Linked DNA regions of Mytilus edulis. The protein of the gene in region 2 binds, or shares a complex with, the protein of the main gene of each other region. Links are inferred from orthologs where the notes say so. Each region holds a gene or a part of one and is shown on either strand. Other genes may lie near its edges.

Evidence for each region.
Region 1: the proteins of dehydrodolichyl diphosphate synthase complex subunit DHDDS-like (region 2) and dehydrodolichyl diphosphate synthase complex subunit Nus1-like are in contact, whole or in part, in a crystal structure (PDB 7PAX), measured with the Homo sapiens proteins. The link is inferred for Mytilus edulis from reciprocal best matches to the Homo sapiens genes DHDDS and NUS1. Residues at the interface, in NP_995583.1 of Homo sapiens: Arg37, Arg38, Glu81, Asn82, Lys84, Arg85, Arg159, His160, Ile162, Ser163, Val166, Arg167, Met169, Ala170, Trp171, Val173, Glu174, Pro180, Ser181, Ile183, Ser184, Glu185, Leu188, His199, Glu209, Val210, Arg211, Leu212, Ser213, Asp214; in NP_612468.1 of Homo sapiens: His137, Gln138, Pro193, Glu194, Lys197, Ala198, Ile200, Val201, Ala204, Gln205, Phe207, Cys208, Gln209, Val211, Ala212, Arg217, Pro218, Thr219, Leu221, Asp222, Val223, Leu226, Asp237, Pro246, Val247, Asp248, Ser249, Thr250, Leu251, Gly252.

What each region holds. Positions count from the first base shown.
Region 1 is NC_092353.1:18,904,386-18,916,488, forward strand, and holds the start of dehydrodolichyl diphosphate synthase complex subunit Nus1-like, read left to right. Parts: upstream 1-7,270; 5' UTR 7,271-7,381; coding exon 7,382-7,658; intron 7,659-12,103. Other genes in the region: polycomb protein EED-like, read right to left, coding at 1,497-1,595. UniProt on the Homo sapiens protein: With DHDDS, forms the dehydrodolichyl diphosphate synthase (DDS) complex, an essential component of the dolichol monophosphate (Dol-P) biosynthetic machinery.
Region 2 is NC_092353.1:36,824,673-36,836,185, reverse strand, and holds the start of dehydrodolichyl diphosphate synthase complex subunit DHDDS-like, read left to right. Parts: upstream 1-6,843; 5' UTR 6,844-6,962; intron 6,963-9,829; 5' UTR 9,830-9,836; coding exon 9,837-10,019; intron 10,020-11,155; coding exon 11,156-11,298; intron 11,299-11,513. Other genes in the region: PH-interacting protein-like, read right to left, coding at 1-33, 661-756, 4,443-4,593, 6,026-6,085, 6,269-6,298, 6,376-6,434, 6,526-6,580. UniProt on the Homo sapiens protein: With NUS1, forms the dehydrodolichyl diphosphate synthase (DDS) complex, an essential component of the dolichol monophosphate (Dol-P) biosynthetic machinery.

The DNA.
Region 1 (12,103 bases), about 18 Mb from region 2:
CATAATGAATGGTTTGCAATTTTCTTAATTTACATTTTGTACATGTTAAATAAACATGTTTGGTTTATTTTGCCAACATCAAATATTTGCATTTAATATTGTTGAAGATGAGATTCCTTCCAGTCCTTACATGTACTAACTAATATGAAATTTTGGCATGCTTGGAGACTTGGTAATTGCTTAATTTTAAAATATTAATTTTAATGAAACATACATGTACAGGAATGTACAAGTTTTTCCAGCTTTAAAAGTGGAGCACTTTCTTGTGAAATTTGGTGACATGTGCATGACATCTTATACATGTATATTTGTCAGTATAGAAAAATAGTGTTAGCTTCAAAAAATTCAGACCAGCTAAATGAACATGGAATTGTTTTACACGTAGCTGACTATGCAGTATGGTTGATTGATTGATTGTTGGTTGATTAACGTCCAGTGGCAAATATTTCATGTATGTTCAGGACGATTATGTGGTATGGCTTTGCTCATTGTTGAAGGCTGTATGGTGACCTATAGTTGTTAATTTCTGTGTAATTTGGTCTCTTGTGGATAAATGTCTCATTGGCAATCATCCCACATCTTTTCTTTTATATTCAAAGGGATCAGTGGATTTTCCTTCTACTTCTACTATTTTCTTCTTTGTAGTCACCACCTTCAACATATTAAAGTTTATGTCTGACACTTGTACTGCGCATACTGCTTTGTGTAGAAGTATGTACAGTGAAAATTTAACAATTTTATAATTAATAACAAAATTGATAAGGGCTATTCCAGAAAAAAATTTATGGGGGGTTGGAAGGCACTTTATATTAATAATACAATGGTGATTGGTATCAGAGCAACTTTTCACACTATAATGCACTATAATTCTCAATTACAATTGTCTGGGTGATGGGTGCTGACAAAAACTGCCTTCCAACCCTCCATACATTTTTTTCTGGAATAGCCCTAATATTTTTAGTCACTCATTACAATATTCAGAGTAAGGTTATTCCTGTTTTTAATTGATCCTGGAAAAAATGATTGTTGGCGTATTTGTGCAGGATGGATTTATGTACTAGCTATAGCCTGTATACATGTTCTGGGTCTATCTGAGCGTTTTTATTAGTCTACCTGGGTTTTTTTTGTTGCTCGGAGATGAGATGTGATTTTATAAAACATGACAAGGCATGCATCTGTTTTTCTGTGTGCGAGGTCTCTCCATTTTAAATGATTTATATCATGTCACAAACATGTACACTTTCTATGTTGGTTTGTGAAAAACCTAGCAGCCCTTCTTTGCACCTTTTTAAGTTTGTTTATATCCTCGGTAAAGTAAGGGTTACAGACTTAACAGGCGTATTCTAGTGACATAGTCAATAAGAAACATCAACATGAACAATGATGAAGATTTAGAATTTAGCTACATTTTGTTCTTTTACTGTTTTAGGGATCCAAAGCTGTTTATTTGATTGAATTAATCGTAAGACCGATGTTATTAAAAGCATATAATTAACCTGATCATCCCCTGAACCGTCTGTGTTTGCTGGGAGTGATATTTTGGGTCTTTTTTGTAACACTGGCATTGTTGACATGCTTTCTTCGCTGTCCGACATTTTTAAATTTTTCTTTGTCAAGTCACATGACTATCACTTGACCCAACAGCAATCGAGCGGGAAATTTTTTTATTTTTAAAAATATATATATATAATATATAAATATATACATTTTAGTTGATATCATGGTCCGTATATTAAACACTTAAAAATTCAAAAGTTTTCCGATTGAAGTTTCTTGGGTTTTTTATCAAAATTTTTGAACTTTATCAAAATTCTTGCGGTTTTTTTTTATTTCTGAAAAATTAATAAAAATTTCACCAAATAAGGATAATAAGAGGAGTCTGATGGGTGTCTCATCACGATTCGCGAGCTGATTTCTTTGTCAATCACGATTCACAGAAAATAAATTTCCATGATCACGGATCACGAAAATATATAAAAAAAAATTGTAGAAAAACGGCGAATCACGTTAGCCGCCGGAAAATGGGCCGATCACGAAGAACGAAAATAACCCATCAGGCCCCTCAAATAAGATCAAATAAGATCAAATAATTCCAGTTAAAAATTATAATCTTCCTTTTAAAAGTCTTGATAAAAAAATTCAAAAAGAGAAAAGAGAAATGATCAAAACTATACAGTTTAGTATATTTATTAAACTGGTTTGTTTAAAAATCTAAACTATTAGGGAAAATTAAGGGGGAGTGTATGCGGTTTTTTTCTTTAAAAATATTCTTAACTCCTATTTAATGAGAAAAAAAATATCCTATTTAAGTAGATGACAAAAAAACATTCTGTTTCCAGATTTCACCCATACCTAATAGTGTTCAATATTTAAAAAAATATTCTGACTCAGATAAAACGATATTCCCCTTTTCTTAAACTAAATTGTTGCTCCCAAACAAATATTTCACAGGACGAATTACGGATATTGAATCAGCGGGAACCCAGGCTAAATAAATGTATGTTATCTTATTCAAGGAGTTTATATATTTCCCGTTGTCATAAGTAGATATAGGAAGATGTGGTGTGAGTGCCATAAACTTTCATGTGACTGTCGGCGTTTCGACTTTGAACTACCTTTTTTATCCACGATACTTAGGAAGCTACCATTCCATTTTTAGGGACGGGGGGGGGGGGGGGGGATAAGATGAAATTTGAAAAAAGACAGGACAACGGTTTTGCCGGATTAAAAAAACACGCAGGATGACAATTTATGCACAAAAAGTCAGGATCAACTATAATAAAAAGGGCAGAACAGAGTTTCAGTTCAACTAAATAAAATGCATTCAACATTAAACATCAGCAAGTTTTTTGTTCCAATATTTCAACTTTTATTTCCAACTTTCAAAATTCGATTTCAACGTTCAACATTCGTCTTCAACAATCCGGCAATTTTCTTCAACATTTAGCATTCGTTTTCAACATTCAACATTTAACCTTCGATTCCGAATTCAACATTCGTTTTTAAACTTTCGATATTCGTGTTTCAACATTATGAATATTCGTTTTCAACATTCAAAATTCATTTTCAATATTCAACATTCGTTTTCAATATTCAACATTCGTTTCCAACATTTGTTTTCACATATTCGATTGTCAACATTCATTTTCACCAATTTACTTTCAAAATTCAACATTCGTTTTCAATATTCGTTTTCACATATTCGATTTTCGACATTCATTTTCAACATTAAACATTCGTTTTCAACATTCAAAATTCATTTTTAATATTCAAGATTCTTTTTCAATATTCAACATTCGTTTTCAACAAATTCGTTTCCTTCGTTTTCAACATTTGTTTTCAACATTCGTTTTTAACATTCGTTTCCAACATTTTTTTTTCACATATTAGATTTTCAACATTCATTTTCAGCATTCAACATTCGTTTTAATTCAACATTCGTTTTAATTCAATATTTGTTTTCTACATTCGTTTTCTTCTTTTTCAACCGTGATTCGTTTTCAACATTGGTTTTCAACATTCGTTTTCAACATTGGTTTTTAACATTCGTTTTCAACATTTTTTTTCACATATTCGATTTTCAACATTCTATTTTCAGCATTCAACATTCGTTTTAACTTCAACATTCGTTCTAATTTAACATGATTCGTTTTAATTCAACATTCGTTTTTAAACTTTCGATATTCGTTTTTCAACATTCAAAATTCATTTTCAATATTCAACATTCGTTTCCTTTGTTTTCAATATTCGTTTTCAACATTCGTTTTCAACATTTGTTTTCAACATTCGTTTTCTTCGTTTTCAACATTCGTTTTTAACATTTTTTTTCACATATTCGATTTTTAACATTGATTTTCAGCATTTAGCATTCGTTTTAATTTAAAATTCGATTTTAAACTTTCGATATTTGTTTTTCAACATTCAACATTCGTTTTCAACATTGAAAATTCGATTTCATTCAACATTCAAAATTCGTTTTCAGCATTAAACGTTCGTTTTCAACAGTCATTTTCCATATACAAAATTCGAATTTCAACAATCATAAAAAAATTGTTTACAATTTTTGTTTTTCTCTTTTTCTTTTTTGAAATAATTTTGTTCTTCAATATTCATTTTTCAAATTTAACATTTAAACTTTCGAAATTTGTTTTTCAACATTCAACATTAAAAATTCATTTTCAATATTCAACATTCGTTTTCAATATTCAACATTCGTTCTCAGCATTCAACATTCGTTTTTAAACATTCGATATTCTTTTTTTTTTTTAACATTCAACATTTTTTTTTCATCATTCAAAATTGACCTTCAATATTCAACATTCGTTTTCACATATTCGATTTTCGCCGGACATTCATTTTCAACATTCAACATTCGTTTTCAACTTTCAACTTTCATTTCCGATCAACATTCGGTTACAGCATTCAATATTCAAAATTCGATTTCAACACCACTTTGGTCTCATACAATTCACATGTCATCCATCTCAAGGTAAGGGGTTAAATTAAAGTTCAAGATTCAAGATTTCAAGATTTTATTGTAAAGCAACGCTCAGACACATATATGTGTAACATGAGGTACATATATACAATGATAAACATGATTTATAACACAAAGGTAACATTCAAAAAACGAAATAAACAATAAAAAACAATAAAAAAATAAAGACAAAAAATAAAAAAATAAGACAAAAAAGAAATAACTCATACAAATTAATATACATATCACAATAAGTTATTCAGCTTTCTGATAAAAGATGCCACCTGTCTATATAAATTAACATTGCAGTAAGATACCATTACAGATAATTTCTGCTTACTGGTATAATAACTAGGGATAATATATGTTGTTCTCTAAAACAAACCAGTTGAGGAGACTTGCATATAAAAAGATAGTGAAATTCGTCTCCTGCACTCTCTTTACATATGTGACATTTTCGGTCATCCACCGGAATATTGTACCAACGCCCAGTTTCAATCGGAATTTTTATATTAGACGTTCTTAATTTTGTCATCCAGATTCTTGCATTTTCCGGTATTTTTATAATGTTAATTTTCAAAACCAAAACAGTTTTTATAACTAGAATAAAATACACCTCGGGAAGATAATTGGACATCTTGATGCCATTTTTGTATATATTGGTCTTGTCAAACCTGTTTTATCAGATGCTTGTAGTCAGCACTATCTTGATTGACAAACACATATCCTAGTCCTGTATCATTAAATATTGATTCTATAAAGTTCAGCCATTTGAATGATTGACCGCTAGTTTGCATTAAACTTAATAATAATCTATATATATATTACTACTTAATTTGTCACCATGCATTATTCTTCTCCAAAATGATGTCATTCTTATTTTAACTTTTATTTCTAATGGAAATCTGCCTAATTCTCCATATACCATATAGTTTGGCGTTGAAGATCTTACTCTTAGAATACGTTTACAAAAATTTAAGTGAATTTGTTCTAAAATTTTCAGGTTTTCGTATCCCTAAATCTCACAGCCATATAAAAGAATAGGCATCAAACATTTTAAGCTGTAAATCTAGTGGGATGGCTTGATTTCTAATACTTTTGTACAAGCTGTATAATGCTTTTTATGCTTGATTAACTAATTTTTTCTTCGCCTCCGTAAAAGTACCATTACATTTAAATATAAGGCCAAGATATGAGTAGGTATCGACTAATTCTATATTTTTGCCTTGTAATTTAAATTCGAATTTCCGTCGCACTTTGCCTTTACTAAATACCATGCTATTTGTTTTTGTAACATTAACTTCCAGTTTCCATAATTCACAGTAGTTCTGGAAAATATTTAGTGCATTTTGCATACTTTCTGCAGAATCCGCCATACTGATGACGGTATCATCAGCGTACAGTATGGCAAACAGTTTCATAATTGAATTTAACTCATTTTGACATTTTTCTTTAACTATCTCAAGGGGACATCCACCTAAATCAATAAAGAATTTTTCTATGTCATTTAGAAAAATTGAAAAGAGAAAGGGAGATAGATTTCCCCCCTGCTTACACCAGTTAGACAGGGGAAATATTCTGACTGTTGGTTGTTGTATTTAACACATGATTTAATATTATTAAACATATTAAAAATAACAGTAAATATTTTTCCTTTTATACCACTGTTCTGTAGTTTTTTCCACAGACCACTTCTCCATACAGTGTCGAAGGCCTTTCGGAAATCAACAAATGTACAAAATAGTTTTTTACCAAAAGACTGATACAGTGATATTAAGGCATGCAATACGAATAAATTATCGGTTGTAGAGTGATCTTTTCGAAATCCAGCTTGGTTGTTTGAAATTAAGGAAATTTCATTTGCAAAAAAGGTTAACCTAGAACTGATTAATTATTGATGTGAGGACTTTTCCTAGACAGCTTATTACTGTTATTGCTCTGAAGTTATCAGGATCCATGGTATCTCCTTTGTTTTTAAAAACTGGTATTATTATACCAATAGTCCAGTGCTCTGGTATTATTCCTGTTTCTAAAACAATGTTAAATATTTTACAGTAAATATGTACCAGTGCTGGAGTTGAATATTTTATATACTCATTTAAAATATTATCTAATCCTGGTGATTTGTTATTCTTTAAATTTTTTATTGCATCAGTTATTTCAGAGGCATGCATATGGATTCAATGAGGTCAAATTATTCACTTTCAAGTGAATAATTCATAATCAATGTGGTTTTTTTTTAGCTTATTTTGACAAAATTGAACCATGCTGGCTGCTAAAAACCAAATATTATTTCCGCTATTTGCATTTCATTAATGATTGAGCAATGTTTTATATATCTCCTAGTGCCCCTTTAACATTGCGATGAATCACCTGTCAGTTTTCAGAATAGAAATAAAAAAGTACACAAGGGACTCTCTATACTAGTATATTAGTATAGAAAGTCCCTGTCAGTTTAATAATTCAAGATGGTCAATTTTATAAATCAGATCAACTCTAGGGCATATGAGATTGTGGTCATAGTATTTCAATCCCATTTTTTTTTAAATTTTTATAATTTATGTTCAATTTTAAACGCGGACGTCAAGGAAAGCACAGTGAGTTGAAAATGTTATTTTTGTGCTCCATACTTTTTATACTTTTCCGTTTTCTTGACAGATTCAATGCACAAGCAAAGGGGTTTTAAGGGATACTGATATTTTGTATTTAATTTCAGTAGAAAGTTGATCTGCATCAGGTTTTATTATCTTATGTGTTTTTATAGTGTTTTCCACGAAAGAGGAAGTGCCCTCAGCATTCTAACCGTATTACTTCCGGTACACGAGAACACAAGACCGGTGCCTGATCCGATAAATTATGATATCCACTCTTTCAGAAGCTAAAACTAATAATACTACGTAAACTATGTTTGAACAACTTGTGTTACGACTAATTCATTGTATTTTATCATTTGGAGTGTTTGTAAAACAATGTACAAGTTATTTTATACATTTCGGCTTGGTATTTAAACAAAAATCGTCAGTCGACTTCATCAAAGCTGATGCAAGGCAGATAAACAAGTTGCCGGTACATATAGGAATAGTTGTTTTAGAAGAAAAACTTTCATACACAGATATAGCTAATATTATAATATGGTCACTAGCTTTAGGGATATCTTGTATCAGTGTTTATGATGTGAATGGTAAGTTCAAATGGTTAAACTTCAAGCAAATATAATTTTCTGACACATGAGCAAATTCTAGATAATATAAGAACACTACAATACACCTTATCGCTATTTGTCGGCCATTGCTTGATATCATGCAGGTTCCCATAAAATGTTGACGTCATAAAACAAAACATCTGACGCCACAATGGAAAAGTTGTTGTTGTATGCGTCAAAAGTTCAAGCGGCCGGGTCAACTGGGATTAGCGATAAGGTGTGTCTTCTTCATCTCTTCTTTTGTTAATCAGCAACGGAAAAATGCCATCAAGCTGATGCTGTATCATCAAGTGCAGGTGCTGTACAGGTTGTGATCAACAAAACCAAGAAAATAAATAAAATTTATATATATCATGTATAGACAAGTTTAAAATTGTGATCAATGCAGGACAAAAACAAGGATGGTCTTTACAGCAATTCACTGTGTCTCTGGCTCAGGATGAAAGTGTGACCAGAGGTTGTTCGTTAAAAGTGTCAGAGTCGGTGTCAATTGTGTTTTTTCCGGGTAGATGGTTCCAGTCTCTGATTTCGTATTCGGAGGTGTTGCATTGTGACTGCATGATGCTGACTGTGTGGCTATGTCGTGTTTTCCTGTTGTTGACGAGGTAATATTTGGGATTTCAGTGGTTACTTGATGGTACACTATTTTCTAAAATAATATTAAGCGATTTGCTGTTCTTCTCGTTTCAAGAGTAGGCCAATTCAAAGATTGTATATGATTGCAGTCATGGAGCCAGGTTAGTAGTTGTAGTTCTTGGTTACAAAAATCTTGCTGCCCTGTGTTGTACCATTTCTGTACATTTGATGTCCAGTGCAATGGGGGTCCCATACTTACCAGAGCAATGTAAGCGTGTTGTTTAATTTCTTGAGGGCATTTATATAAATTTCTTCTTTAAAATACAAAATTCAGCTCCACTCCTAGGTATGGGTTATGTTCTTTTAGTTCCAGCTGTGTAGAATGTAAGAAGTATGGTCTATATGATGAAGACATAATCTTTCAATCAGTTTTAGTTTAATTGAAGTCTGGAGCTGGCATGTCAGTTAACTGCTAGTAAATATATAGTCTGGTGTTATTTATGTATTTTTGTTTTTTTGTTGGTTTCTTGTGTATAGTTCAGAGTTTAGTATGGCGTTCATTATCACTGAACTAGTATATATATTTGTTTAGGGGCTCAGAGACGGATTTAGAGGTGGGGCCTTGTAAATAACAGTGATGTTATTAGTCAAATTATACCTTACTCATGACTTCCTCTTCATCCATAACAGTTTAAATATTGAAGTTTTGCATGATTTAAAAAACAAATAAAAATATTGATGAATTGTTAGTCACGTTTGGCTGTCACTTAAAACTTGAGTACATGTATCTCACATAGTTTCATTCAACACAATTTGTATGTATACTCTCATTTACAATATGGAACTTCTTGTTTGAACAGGCTTCTCGCTAAGGATTTTTGAAGGAGAGTCCAAGGACTCGTCATTTTAAGCCATGATGAGTCCAACAGCAAGAAGAAAATATCTTATTGCAATAAGGCCAATTAAAATTAATTGATAGATTTTCATCCCCGCCCGCCCCTCTGAAATCGTCCTGCCTCGATTTTTTTATTTTGCAAAATTTACGATTTCCAGATTTTGTTCATTTCCGTTACCGGTAACTGTCAATAATTTCGTTTCATTCGAACTTCCTGTTTATAAAATTTCGGTTTTTCATATTTCTTGTTTCGAGTGACTTTAAAACGATTATGTTGACAAACAGTGGTCTCGCTAGCCCAAAATAGAAGGGCGCCGCACCCTGGGTGCCCTCAGCCGCGCCCTGGGTGCCCTCAGCCGCGCCCTGGGTGCCTTCATCCGCGCCCTTCTGCCCTGACGTCTTTTTCCAAAATTATCTTGTGCCGTTTTGGTAAAATTTTGTTTCATCGATTTCTGATCTCCAAGTTAATTACATATATGACACCTGTGTGATTGCCCCCAGGTTAATCATGTCATTACAATCAATTACAATGATAAAGACTTCAAAAGTGTTAATAACTAGGTAATTTAATTAGGACAATGTATCTTTTTGTCATACTTTTGATGAATGTGTCAACGAGTGTGTTTAGCTTGGGTCGGCATTTTCGATCTCCAAGTCACAATGGAAGAGCGTATATAAATGAAGACTTTCATGACTTTAGAATTGAATTTAAGTCATCAAAATAAAACTATGCTTTTACAGAATTGCCTTCCATCTCAACTTGTTAGCGACAAGCACAGTTTTTAATTAACTCAAACGTGGTGGAAATTGATTTTGGAGTTACTTCCCCTGTTTTAGCTTATTACAAATTTGTGCTCTTAAAATATTATCTAGTATCAAAAAAAAGAATAAGTTACCAATTGAATATATAATAACATAATAATGTTACCTTAAAGATATTAACTGTCTTTGAACATATTAAAAAATATATATTGCAATTTCTACTTGATAATTATACTTTTAGCAATCCATGTTCTAAACATTGTTAAATTAGTAATGCTCTCAGTTTTAGGTCAAATGATGTATTAAAAGCTGTAATTCCTATATAGATTAAAAAAAAAAAAAAAACACATATTCGATAATGGGTAGAGTGAAGTTAAACTCTAAAAACATAATATGTTAATGAAGATGTACTATACCATTCATAACTACACAAACAATGAAATAAAGACTATAGTTGAAAAGCATCTTTATTTAAAAAAAACAACATATACAGTCCAAAAAAAAAAGAGATTCGTTAACTCGTGATACACACAGAAACGTAGACAAAAAAATGAGCAGTGCCTTTTCTTATCAAAAAAAGTGCCCTGCCCTCCACTGGCACCCTGCCCCTTTTAATTTCTAGCTAGAGCACTGACAAAATCTGCTGCTCAATGATGACAGTATCATCTACAGAGAATATAGAAAGATTACCAGAAGGGCATGAAATATTCGGATTACGAGTATTAAATACGCTGTGTCCAACGCAAATCGCGGTATATCACAAATTGGAACTTATGATTTCTTTCATCAGAAAATTGTGGATTTATTTAATAATACATTGACTTTGTGTAAGCAAATTTGGGCTGTGAATGATTTCCAAAGTGCAAGAATCGTGGAACAAATTGGTAGAAAAAAAAGAGTTCAAAAAGTCGGCAAACATACACATTGTGTACTAGAAACCCCTTAGATTAACTTATGGCTATTGTTTTTGTTTTAAAAACACAAAATACCATTTACAATGTAATTATATATGCGTCACTTCTTGCATAACTTGAGAGTCTTAAAAGTGCCAACTTTACTATTCCTTGCAGCACTTGTTTGAGTGTTCATTTCATTCATAATACTTGTGCTGCATTCCATTGCATTTGCATAAGTTTATGGGGACTACAAACCATCGCTTAGAGAGCAAAATAAATTTGGAGTTGGTAGTCAAATGAATAGAGAATTTCTCCATGGTTTTACTGTTTGCTGAAAATATGTTTCTAAAGTAGCAATTGCATGTAGAACAGTCCGCGTTGCAAATCAGAGATGTTTATTCAAGAATTATGTACGATTCTTTATACATGTTTAAACATTTACATGGTATAAGCTAAATTTTGTAATGATAACACTTGCATATATATATATATATATGAAGTTCACGCCACAAGAAGATTTCAAATTGATTAAAATTTAAAAAATAAAATCCTCCCACCCGCCCCATTTTTTTCAAAACTTTGGATGAAAATCTACTAATTAATTTTAGTTGGCCTAATATGTAGTATTTTACAAATGTTTTGGTCTCTATTTCCTAACAGAGCAATGAAATGACATTAAACTCAGATCACTTTTAAACTTTTTCTATAAAATGATGATATTTGTGTTAAACTGTGTTCAGTTTAAACAAAATATTTCAATCTTGATGCATCTGTGGACTCACCAGTTTTGAAAATGGTAAGTTCAGACAGATTTTGATGAGTCCACGACTCATGGACTCGCCTTAGTGAGAACCCTGTTTGAAGGAATATATACTAATCTATGGCTACCAGGTCATTTTTTCAGTCTTATGAAACTATGTTGATATTCCTGGAATCAATAAAAAACACACCAATTGAATCAAAACCGACAGTACATATGTAACAACCTAATATATAGCTCTAGCACTTCTCAAGGTTGTACATGTAATTTGCCACTATAAAAAAAACACACCTGTATATATATATTATATACAATGTAATATATACAATGTAATATATACATGTAAATAAAAAATCAAATGTAACTCAAAATGATAAAGAAAATGATAATTTCAAGTAAGTCAGGGTTAAAGTAAACTGAATTTCTTGGTACATCAGATACTAAATTTATAAGCAGAGTTATCTCCCTTTGTCCTTTAGATTTTTGTTAAGTACATGTTTGTGTAACTAAAGAGCTAATCATACTTTAGTCTACA
Region 2 (11,513 bases):
GGCCAGACATCTCTCTGCCTTTTAATACATGACCTGTACAAAATAAAAGTATGATGATAAAATGTCTAACATAGATTAAAATTAATAATAAACAAAATTTTTTTTTTTTTTTTTTTTTAAATATCTTCAGTATCAAATTAAAATTTGAAAAGCTTTGGTTGAAAGGTTATTGAGTAAATACACAGGCATCGTTTTGAAATATTAAAACAAGAGAGATACTAAGGTTGTCAGGGGTTTCATTATCTTTCAATTTGACTGGTACTTTCCACGTTTCTAGGTGGTACTTTTCAATTTATTCCATGAATATCTTATATAAAAATTTCTACATTTAGGTGGTACTTGTCAATAGCATAGGAGGGTAAAAGTACCGGGTACCGCCTCCTAATGAATGGCCTGCGGTTGTTTGGAGGTAGATGTTAATTCTGGCTTTATATATTAATATGTGAAATATGATTATGTATTGTAGTTAAAAAATAATTTCAAAAATTTTCTTCAAAACTTATAAGTAATGCTAACTAATGCAGATTTCTTAAATTAGTTAAATTATGTCAAAGGGAAAAGATTTAATCAGTAAATTTGTTTTACAATAAATCTCTTCATAAACATGAATTAGTTTTTAACTGTTGCAATTGATCACACTTGATATAATAATACACTTACCAACATTTGGTATAACAAGATTGTTTGGAGGAAGAAGTGGTCTCTGATGATGCATCACAACATGAGTAACTGGTGGCCATCTTGGATTTAATATTGCTGTTAAATATTTATATGAAGTATATGAACATTTGAGCACATACTTTAAGAATGTCAATCAATTAAGTACAAATATAAAACATGCATAATTTGACATTTCCGAATCTTTGTCTCTGAGCTCTGACTGTTAGTGCGATATGATAAATTGAGTTATTCCCCTTAGTCCAGACAATTTTAGGTATAACGATCATAATTATACATGGTGATATCTGGGTTTTTTTACATGTACAAGTCAATAATCTAAAGGGATTTACTTCAGTTAAAACATATTTGCTTATACAATTTCTTTAATGATTGAACAATAAAAAAAATCATGATTTTTTGTAGATATTGTAGCTAGTGCCTCTTTAATATAATAACTTAATAAACTAAAAGTATAAATCAATTACAATAAGACTTATCTCCCATCTGTTTACATGTTACAATTGAAGTACTTAAAATAAAGACATCATTGACAAATAAAAATGATGTATGTTTATGAACATCTGTTACATTGTTACAAAAATTATATGTATATTTTAATCTAAACAAATGTTAGACATCAAATATTTATTAAAGTTTATAAGTTCACAGCTTATTCAAAGTTCTATATATATGTGTCTGAAATTCAAACTGAAAGGTGTTTGAAGGGTTGTGAAAAGTAATGCTGGATATACCTGTATACAACAATGCGATAGTAACACATGACATTTTTTTTTTAAACAGTCCATTTCACTTTTCTTGATTCTTTTTCTGAGTTGTGGAGTAAACATCGGCCAAACATGTAATATAATTTGATTAAAAAAATATTTTTTGTTAGTATTAACATGATTAAGAAAGTGCCTTAAGTGTAAATTTGAAAAACAGCGGTCTCAGCAACTACAAACTAGTGATAAATTGAGAACATATAGATTATTTAAGAATATTTTTAAATTTGAAAAATATTTATCCGTTTAAAGGGGCACTAGCTGTCAAATTCATGTTCACCAATTTGACTCAAATTTTCATATTTTATTTATAACAATGTAAAACATTTTTCCAAACTATCAAAAGTATAAATTAAGCAATTTACAGGCCATGGTCTCAAAAAGATTTAGCTTCGTTTCGTGTGAATTTTAGCAATGACACCATCTAATTAAATTTCGAGTTGACCTTCTGTGACCATATAAGCAATGTAAACATAAACATAGATACAAATAGATTAAGAAACTCGTGCAGTTAGATTTTTATAGGTCTACTAAATTTTGTATTATAGATTAAAAATTTATGTTTATCATCGTTTTTTCCTAAATAAGAATGTTTTTTGTGGAGCGAATCAGTCAATCAAATTATTTACTTTTGTTTCACTTTCAATGTTGACATAATTTTCCTTTAAATAACTGTACACGGACAATGCATGCGTTATTCTATCTCTTTCTACGGGGTTAAATTGGAGTTCACATGAATACAGGTTTAACAAGGTCGAGTTATTCACTTGCAAGTGAATAAGTCGTCAATTTTTATTAGCTTAATTTGACAAAATTGAACCATTTTAGCTGCTAAAAGTGAATTATTATTTCACTATTTCATTTTCATTAATGATTGAACAAACAAAAATCATACTTTAGATTTTTTATATATCTCGTAGCTAGTGCCCCTTTAAGTAATGATAATGATAGAGTAAGTATGACAAGGTTCAGAACCAGCAGTCATAAACTTCATATTGAAATTGGTAGATAAACTATACCAAAAACTCCTATAGATAACAGGATTTGTAAGAACTGTAATATAAATTTGGTTGAAGATGAGTTACATTTTTTTTATTAAAATGTCAAAAAATTTCTCATTTAAGGAAGGAGTTACTCTACAACTGTTTAAATAAAAACTTTATTAATTCTACAAATATCAATTCTCCGTTTTTATGGTGATTTAGTAATGAAGACACTGATGTATGCAAAAGTATAGCTAAGTACCTAAATATGTGTTTTTTACTTAGAATAAAAGTGTGAATTTTTGTTTGCTGCCTATAATGTAAAATAATTACTTATATTTTTACACTCGAGTTATTCCCCTTTGAACACATATACTTTGATACTTGTGTAGTATTAATTTTAGTTAAGATTGTTTAAATGTTATTCTTTGTTGTATCTATGCTATTAATGATTATGTTCATAATTGAGCTTTCTTAAATAAAAAATTTCGTATTTATACAATTTTAGTACATGTATATAATATTTATGATTTATATTTATTTCATGTGCATTTCAAGGTGGTGTTTCCAGTTTTTTAATATACAATTTAATATATATTTTTTGAAGTCTGACAATCAGACTGTACATGTACAAACATTCTGGGGCCGTGTCAACGAAGCTGTCCTAGGACTAAGACATGTCTTAGGATGGTCTTAGGACACGTCTTAGTCCTAAGTCGGGTTAACGAAAGTCTCCTAAAATAAGATATGTCCTAAATTTGGTCCTAAAGTTAGGATATACAATTAGGTGTCTTAGGATAGTCCGAAAGGTTACATCGTCATAAAACGTAATAAAAACAACAAGTATGGCATAAACTCAATACTAAAAATACTAATACAATATTAAACTATCATTAGATAAAATTAATAAAAAAAATATTGTTTAATGTTTGTTAAAGATTTAATTGTTATATATTAAATTATTTTGTGCTGCCTTTTTTGAAGCCTAAACAATACTATCATCATAAGCAACATATTTTAAATAATTCAAATATGGGGAAAAGTTTACTTCTTTTTTACCTAATCCTGATTCGATACATAATGAAATCGAGTGGACCTAAGGACAAAACTAGTTTATGTACTAAAATTGCAGCACGAATATCACAAAGTTTTGTGACCATTTACTTTTGTTTTCGTATTAAATTCATTTATATCTTTTATCATATTTAATAACGTACTTATTAGTATTCCGTAAAAACTTTACTTTTATTTTGCGTTAATTGTTTTCTATATATATAAGAGTCATCCTCCCTCTCTTTACATATAGGTTCTAAAATACAATTCAATCTATGTCATACAAATATCTACATACATTTTATTTTTAAAATAAATGTGTTAGGATGGTCCTAGGACCATCGTAGTTAGGACTGTCCTAAGACAGCTTTGTTTTACATCCTAAGACATGTCTCAGACACGTCCTAAGACCATCCTAAATAATGTCCTAAGACCTATCTTAGGACATGTCCTAGGATACTTTCATTGACACGGCCCCTGTATAACAGTTTTTATGTTTTTCAGCAAACTTCTGTTTCTATTTTTTTTTTAAAATTAAATCAATAATGTTCATATAAGCTAAAATAATATATCCAGTAACTTGGCCATTTTATGTTGTATTCACAATCAAAGTTTTTAATAATTTGTCAATTTTTACAAGCTTAACAACTTTATCTTTACAAATCCTAAAAAAGTTAATAGATATTGCAATATTTCTCTGTAAAGAAAGATTTATTTTTGATGTACCTCTTAGAAGACTGGCTCGTCTGAACATGCATGAAATATTTGCCACTGGACGTTAAGCAAACAACAATCAATACTGGTTAAAAACAGTGATTTATATATTAAAAATGTAAAGAATGAGGGTTTTAGCAACATCTGAAGTGTTGACAACTATGACATCGAGAAATTTAAAATAGTGATCAAGGTACATAACCATTTACACCAAAAAGATGGGAAAACATGTTAAACATATACAACTTACCGTCTTTTGTCCTCAATAAAGAATTGCTACCAGAACCAAGTAAAGACTGGACACCACATACACTTGGTTTGATATCTTTATCTAATAAAGGTCCAAGTCTCTGACATATGTGTAATAAATGGTTAGATGTCACATGACGGTATAGTTCAACCTGCAAAAATTATAATTAAATTAAATTTCCATTATTTATTAATTTCTAATTTTATGATAACCACAGAAGCTTATTTAGACAAACATTTTCAGTATTTCATTGATTGATAGCTATAGGTGTTTGATGGGTGGTCGGTATTTTGAAAATAAGACAAATGTGATTTGAATTGTCCATGAAATTATACTTTTATGAATAGAAAAGAAAACTTCCAGTGGCAGATCAAGAATTTTTTATAAGGGATGGTAGTGGGGACACTAACTGCCTTAGACCTGCTTCTGTCATGCTTCAGTGATTCCTAAAACAATCAACCAATTTTTTTTTACAAAATGGGGAGGGCTCTAAATCCTCCACCGACTTCAAAAGACATACAATAAAAATAAATACTAAAATAGAGCATTGTAGTCATCATGGTTATGAAAAATTCAATAAAAGAAGATATTTTTTTATTTTCACTTTCAAATACAAGTGTTGACTATCATAATAGTTTAGATAAAAGTCCCTGATAATAATAAAAAATAAATCTGATGTCTAACCAAGGATTTGTATAGTAAGATCTTACTATACAAATCCTTGGTCTTACTAAAAGATATTAAATATTACTCTACCTCATAAATATGTAATTCATTATTGTTCAATCTTTTATTCACATATAAATATAATTGTTTGTATTTTACTACCATGTATTGCAAATTGTTTATCCATTCGGTCATTACCATTTATTGTAAATGTGTTTGTCAATAGACAATATTTTATTGGCAGAATTTGTGCCAATAAAATATTGTCTATTATAAAAAAAAAAATCTTTTTCTTATAACTTTTAAAAAGTTGCACAATTAAAGATGACTGTGACCTTGAAATTCAAAATTAATGTACTTCAAAACTATTTCTTTAACAATCAGTGTTGTAAATAACACAATTTTAAAAATTATATTGAGAAGTTTTTATTTTTGTCAAGATTTTTTATAAATATTTTTCATGTTTAAGACTTCAATATTTTAATGAGATCTGTTAGCATATTTAAAATCTGTACTGAATATTTGACAAAATTATTTATTTCAAAAAGGAAAACAAGAATATAAACTTTTATACACTTAATCAATCACATCAATGATAAGTCTAGAGAAATCAGAAGATACTTTCTAAATATAGCTTGCTGTTCTCTCATTGGTTATAAATCTGAACTTTGGGGTCAATGACATCACACATGACCTTGTGCATCAGATATGATAATGGCCTCAAAGAAATTATTACAATTTCAAAGCAAATCATGAAAACAATTGATTTTTTAATAAAATTGACTTAAAAAGATGAAAATTAAGTGCATCTTAAAATAACACTCAACAGATAAAACACAAGAAACAAAATGACGAAAAAATCTTCCTAAAAATGGAAAAAGTAAAAAATGTCAATTTCTTGTTTTTCGAAAACTCACCAAATTTTCAAAACTTCTTTCGTGTTCCCTGCCTTCCCAGTCAATTCTTTTTGGCAAAAGCTACAAAATTCCAAAAAATCATTATTCCAAATGTTCCGTGGAACTGTCCGTTTACAATGACAGCAAGTACAATCCGTAACAAATCTAATTAAATTTCAACATTATATTGCCGTTTTTTATCCGTTTTCTACCGTAAAAGCGCGTAATTTGGATTGAAAACATGTCAAATTTTCGCACACTTACCTTGTGTTTTTCTAGTTCTTTTCGAAGTGCCTGGAAAAGAAAAGGGTAAATTGAGTGTGAGGTCAGTCAAATGAGCCCTTACAGACATAATAATGCCAAAGACTTACCTGAGCGGCATCGGAACAGGGTCCAGAAGACAAGAATCTGGCGATGAGGAAATATAACTCTGAAAAGAAAACAGAAAGACTGCTAGTACATTGGATTAAGTTTTATTCGTATAAACTACACATGAATTCAAAATAAAAGCATTAATTTACCAGCTTCTATTGATGATATTTCTCTGTTTTCTCTACTTGGCCCCGGCTTCATCATTAAAACTTAATTAAACAATGAACTGTGTGGGTTATTCAATGAGCGATATCGACGCCATTTTCTGTTTACTGCCATGGATCGAAACGCGGAAGAATAATATTCTAAAATTTTTAAATCTATTTTGTTTTGTAAATATGAGCATTGCTGTATTCATTTTAAGTATAATTTATCCTAATTATTTTACATTATCAAAAGAGGCCGACAATTCACCTCGTAAAATATAAATATACCGGACTATATTGTGAATGTTTGAAATTTAGCCAACTCACAACCCGGTGCTACGTCACACATATGGGGATAGCCCTCGCTTCGTGATTCCCTCACTTGTTCTCAGCTGGTGTTTCATCATTTAATCTGTGGTTAATTGTACCGTATATTGGTGGTAAAGTATTTTGTACATTTATTGTTTTATAAATAAATTTGTACATCTGACATATATACACCATATTTACACATGATTTCATGACCACTGTGATGTGCATACACAAATTTTAGCATTTGTTGTTAAATATTTTCAAATTAAGTAGACAAAGTTATACATGTTTTGTACCTTTCATGGTGCAATCATTTAACCATTTTATAGTTTATTCCCTTTTGTGTATTCTAGTAAAGAACTATAAGATAAAATTGAAATTATAGCTATAAACAAGATTATAAAGCTAGGTGCATGATGTTCTGAACTCCAAGCTTCAACAGTGAAATAAATTAAGAACAAGATAATATAATGGCTATAGAAGTTCAGGATCAATTGAACTTAGTGGCCATAATACTCGTATATCAGTATTATGGAACAATACTTGTATATAATTTGTGTAGATATAAAAATATTTAAATAAGAAAATGGTGTATGCTAATCCAAATGATTATGACATCTTGCCTCGGGGGGGCCACTTCCTATATAATGACTGGTAGGGATGAGCCGCTGGAATAGGTCACTATTTCATGCTTCATGATATATGAAAAGGGTGAGAAATTCAGATTAAATATATCAATAGGTTGATATTATCACTTGCTGGATTATATCATAAGTATCTGAAATTAATCAAATGTTCGTATTTATTTTTGATGCGGTTAAACCACAGTCGTAAATGCATCAGCTATTTGTCAAACCAATTAAACTCTATTTATTCAATGTGGTATTTCCACTGAGGTTAGTTATAGATGCAATAAATCCAATCATTTTGACATTTCCACCTAATTAACATTGAAAGGTTTGTATACATGAAACATTTAAAGAAATTCCATAGCATAGTGTCAGCGTCCTTCAAGAGGGAACGGCAAATCAGTTTTTAATTAATGTTAAACTCAGTAAAAGTGATACTATCTGAAGTATTACTACATTTATCTGACAAAACATATGTTATTGTCTTTTGAAATTGAAATTTCATCATAATCAAAGATATAAAAGGGGCAAATAGCACTGGCAAATAGAGGAGCGAAGAATTTATTGGAAAAACAAGGTGTGATTATTGCGACTGCGTTGCTTCTAAACAAGAACGTAAAATGAGCGGGACCGCAAAACTTTTTGTAAATACTAATGTACAAGAAGATAAAAAATATCCAAATATATCTATAGGTCTGTTTTTTGTTCATTAATATATGACAAGGTATATATTTTTGATAAACAAAATATATGAAAAGGGTGGGGTACTTGATGTCTCAGCTGCTCACCCCTACCAAAAAAAGTTTGAAGTGGCCCCCCCGAGCATCTTGCAAGCCTATTTTAATTTTTTTTCTGGGACGCCTTTCTATGGCTGCTAGTCCAAATAATTCTGACGTCTTGCAAGGCTATTTTAATTTTTCTGGTTTGGACTAGGTGTAACAATTATACAATTATAACTAAGTTAACAATTATAGGCCTCAGATCACAATTAATTCCCTTTGTTCGTGGTCTAGGAATATAGTTCCCAATTATTATATGGGGTATTTCTTCCCAAGTAATCTGTCTACTGTTTTCTTTGAAATGTTTACTATTTGAGTGGTCCTATCAGTTGCATATATATTTAAATAAGTAAAACATGTGGAAAAAAATGATTGTTGAAAGTGAAAGTAGTGATTTGGCCAAAATGAAAGTAGGGTAGAAATCAGCCTTCGTCATTTGTTCAAGATTCAAATCCTACCATTGGCATGCTAATAGGGCCCTCAAAAGAAAAAGCACTGATGGATTGTACTGGGACAAGCATATTTTATTAGAATAATAATGGTCTATAAGCATTTAAATTTATTTCATGTTTGTGGCGGTGCAATTTTTTTAATTCGATTTGACTTTAACTAAAAAATGCATTGTAGCCAAGGGGAAGAATAATTGTGTTCTGAGGCCTATAGGTCACTACATGTATATGGCCTTCTACAATGAGCAAAACTCCTACCTTATAGCAAGCAATTAAAGAAATAAAAAATTTCAAACAATTCAGACAAAAAGATGTGTGCCCAACTTCTGTACAAAACAATTATTGAAATATGATATACAGCAACAAACAACAGGGACTTACAGGCTCCTGAATGGGGACTGGCTCACACAGAATTGGCTGGGTTCTGACATGTTTGCAGACAACCTTCCTGAAGTATTGTTTGCAAAATTTTAAAAATCAATAGGGTTTGTTCATGTCATTAATCATGTTAATGTAATTTATCAATATAGTTTTTATTTTAATTTTTAGTTTTAATGCATAGTTATATAAATTATAAGATAGATACATTTGCTCTATCATTTGGGCAGATATATAAAGTGCAACTGTATTACTTAGTAAATTAACTTTTTTTTTGTCAACCCAGAAACTGGTGTCGAGTAAACATACATGTAATAATGCTACATGTACAACATGTATGACTATTATTGAATCCTGCTAGGCCTGAACATAACAGAAAAGTCAGAGGGGAGCTATTATTCTGTTTTGGGGGCCAACAAACTGGACATCAAATAGGAATTGGATCTTTTGAACTTGACAACCACAATACTTAGTCATAAATTATTTATCTCTTCCCCTACTTTTTTTCCCATGGAGATTAGTTGGCCTGTACATGTCCTCTCAGTCAAGGTCTATTGACTTGAAAACTTGTGCATAGTTTTATACATGTTATGAGATCAGTTTCAAGGAAAACTACTTGTGATGATTCAATGAAATCTTCTATTGATTTTTTCCATGTTTATAATTATGTTCCTGTAGCTTTTAAATAGTCATGTTTCATTAATTGATTGAAAGTTGTTCTTTCAATGATTCTGAAAATATGAATATTTCATTTCAACAGCTTCAATATGTCAACGTGGTTCCCTGAGCAGCCTAAGGCATGGTACCACAGAATGTGTTTAAGGATCCTTGGGTTTGGACAAATTCCTAAACATGTAGCCGTTATAATGGATGGCAATAGAAGATTCGCTGTGAAAAATAGTATGGAACGAGCTGAGGGTCATCTGAAAGGTTTTGACAAACTTACAGAGGTATTATATTCATTGTATTTTATATTTGAACTTCCGAAGGGTTTTTATAAACTCACAATTGAAATCAGGAATAAATGGAGAGTTATCTTTTTTGCTAGTCTGAAAATAAAACCAACAAACCAATCAATTTTGTATTCAAGTCAAAGTTTTTGTTAGCAAGCTGTGTTCCTGATCATGATAATAAGTACATGTAGGTCTTCAAAATTGTTCCAATGTCACGTAATTTCACAAAATAAATTTGAAGACAATCAATCGAAGTGGATGATAAGTCAAATTTGTATTACACCTTACTTGCTTTATACAAACAAACTTTCACTAGCAATAGACTAAAACTATTCACTATTACATTGAAGATCTATCAATTTGACATGTTTGATGAATGTAGATTGGAATTTTTTTTTTCCAATTGGTATTTTGAAAGGACAAGGTTTTTAGAAATATGTACTGTAAAAAATGACAATAATTGTTATAAAGATCCTAGAAGAAAGACAACTTTTAAATGTTTAGACAGACACATGTACATGTATTGGTCAATTTTAAAGTGATTGACAGGTACCAGGCACATTTGAGAAACAAACAAAATAATTAACTATAAGTGTGTGAACAACATCTATCTTATGAATTTTAAGTGGTTTGATATTTCGCATTCTCAAAATAATGTATTAAAGCAAAGTAGTATTTTGTTTATTGTTAATCTCATCCCATCTTTCGACCTTAAAAATGTTAAAATCAATACTAATTGAGATGAATATTTATAGACATGATAGATGACAATATTCAAAAGATTTGGAAGCAACAATTTATTAGATACATTGTACATTTGATTTTTCCTATGATTTTGTTAGACCAAATTGCAGTGCAACCTTTATTATCTGACACACTGGAAGACCAGAAAAAGATGTCCAGATTAAGCAGGGTATCGGAATATTCAGGTTTTTTCTGCAAGGATAGGCATATTTTGAGACCATGAAAATGTGTCCGTTTAAGCAAGATTTTATTGTACACTCTGACAGTTTACACTGTTACAAGAGGCAGTATGTTGGAATAATCAGGTGTCTGATTGGACAGGTTACACTGTACATATTTTTTTGGCCAAATAAGGACACAAACTGACAACCTGTTTTGAAATTTTACAGGTTTTAGAATGGTGTTTGGACATTGGAATCACAGAAGTTACTGTTTATGCCTTTAGTATAGAGAACTTTAAGAGATCTAAAGCGGAGGTTGATTGTCTCATGGAACTTGCAAGGAAAAAGTTTAAAAGACTGATGGAAGAAAAGTAAGATTTAAATTGACATTGATATCCCATAGTTATTTCCCTTGGCAACCATTTTGGAGAAATGAACAGTTTGTTTTCCTATTTGAATTATTAAATTAAAACATGTAATACTTACATTTAATAGAAATATGAAGATGTGGTATGAGTGCCAATGAAACAACTCTCCGTCCAAGTCCCAATGTGTAAAAAGTATTCATTTATACATGTAGATCAAA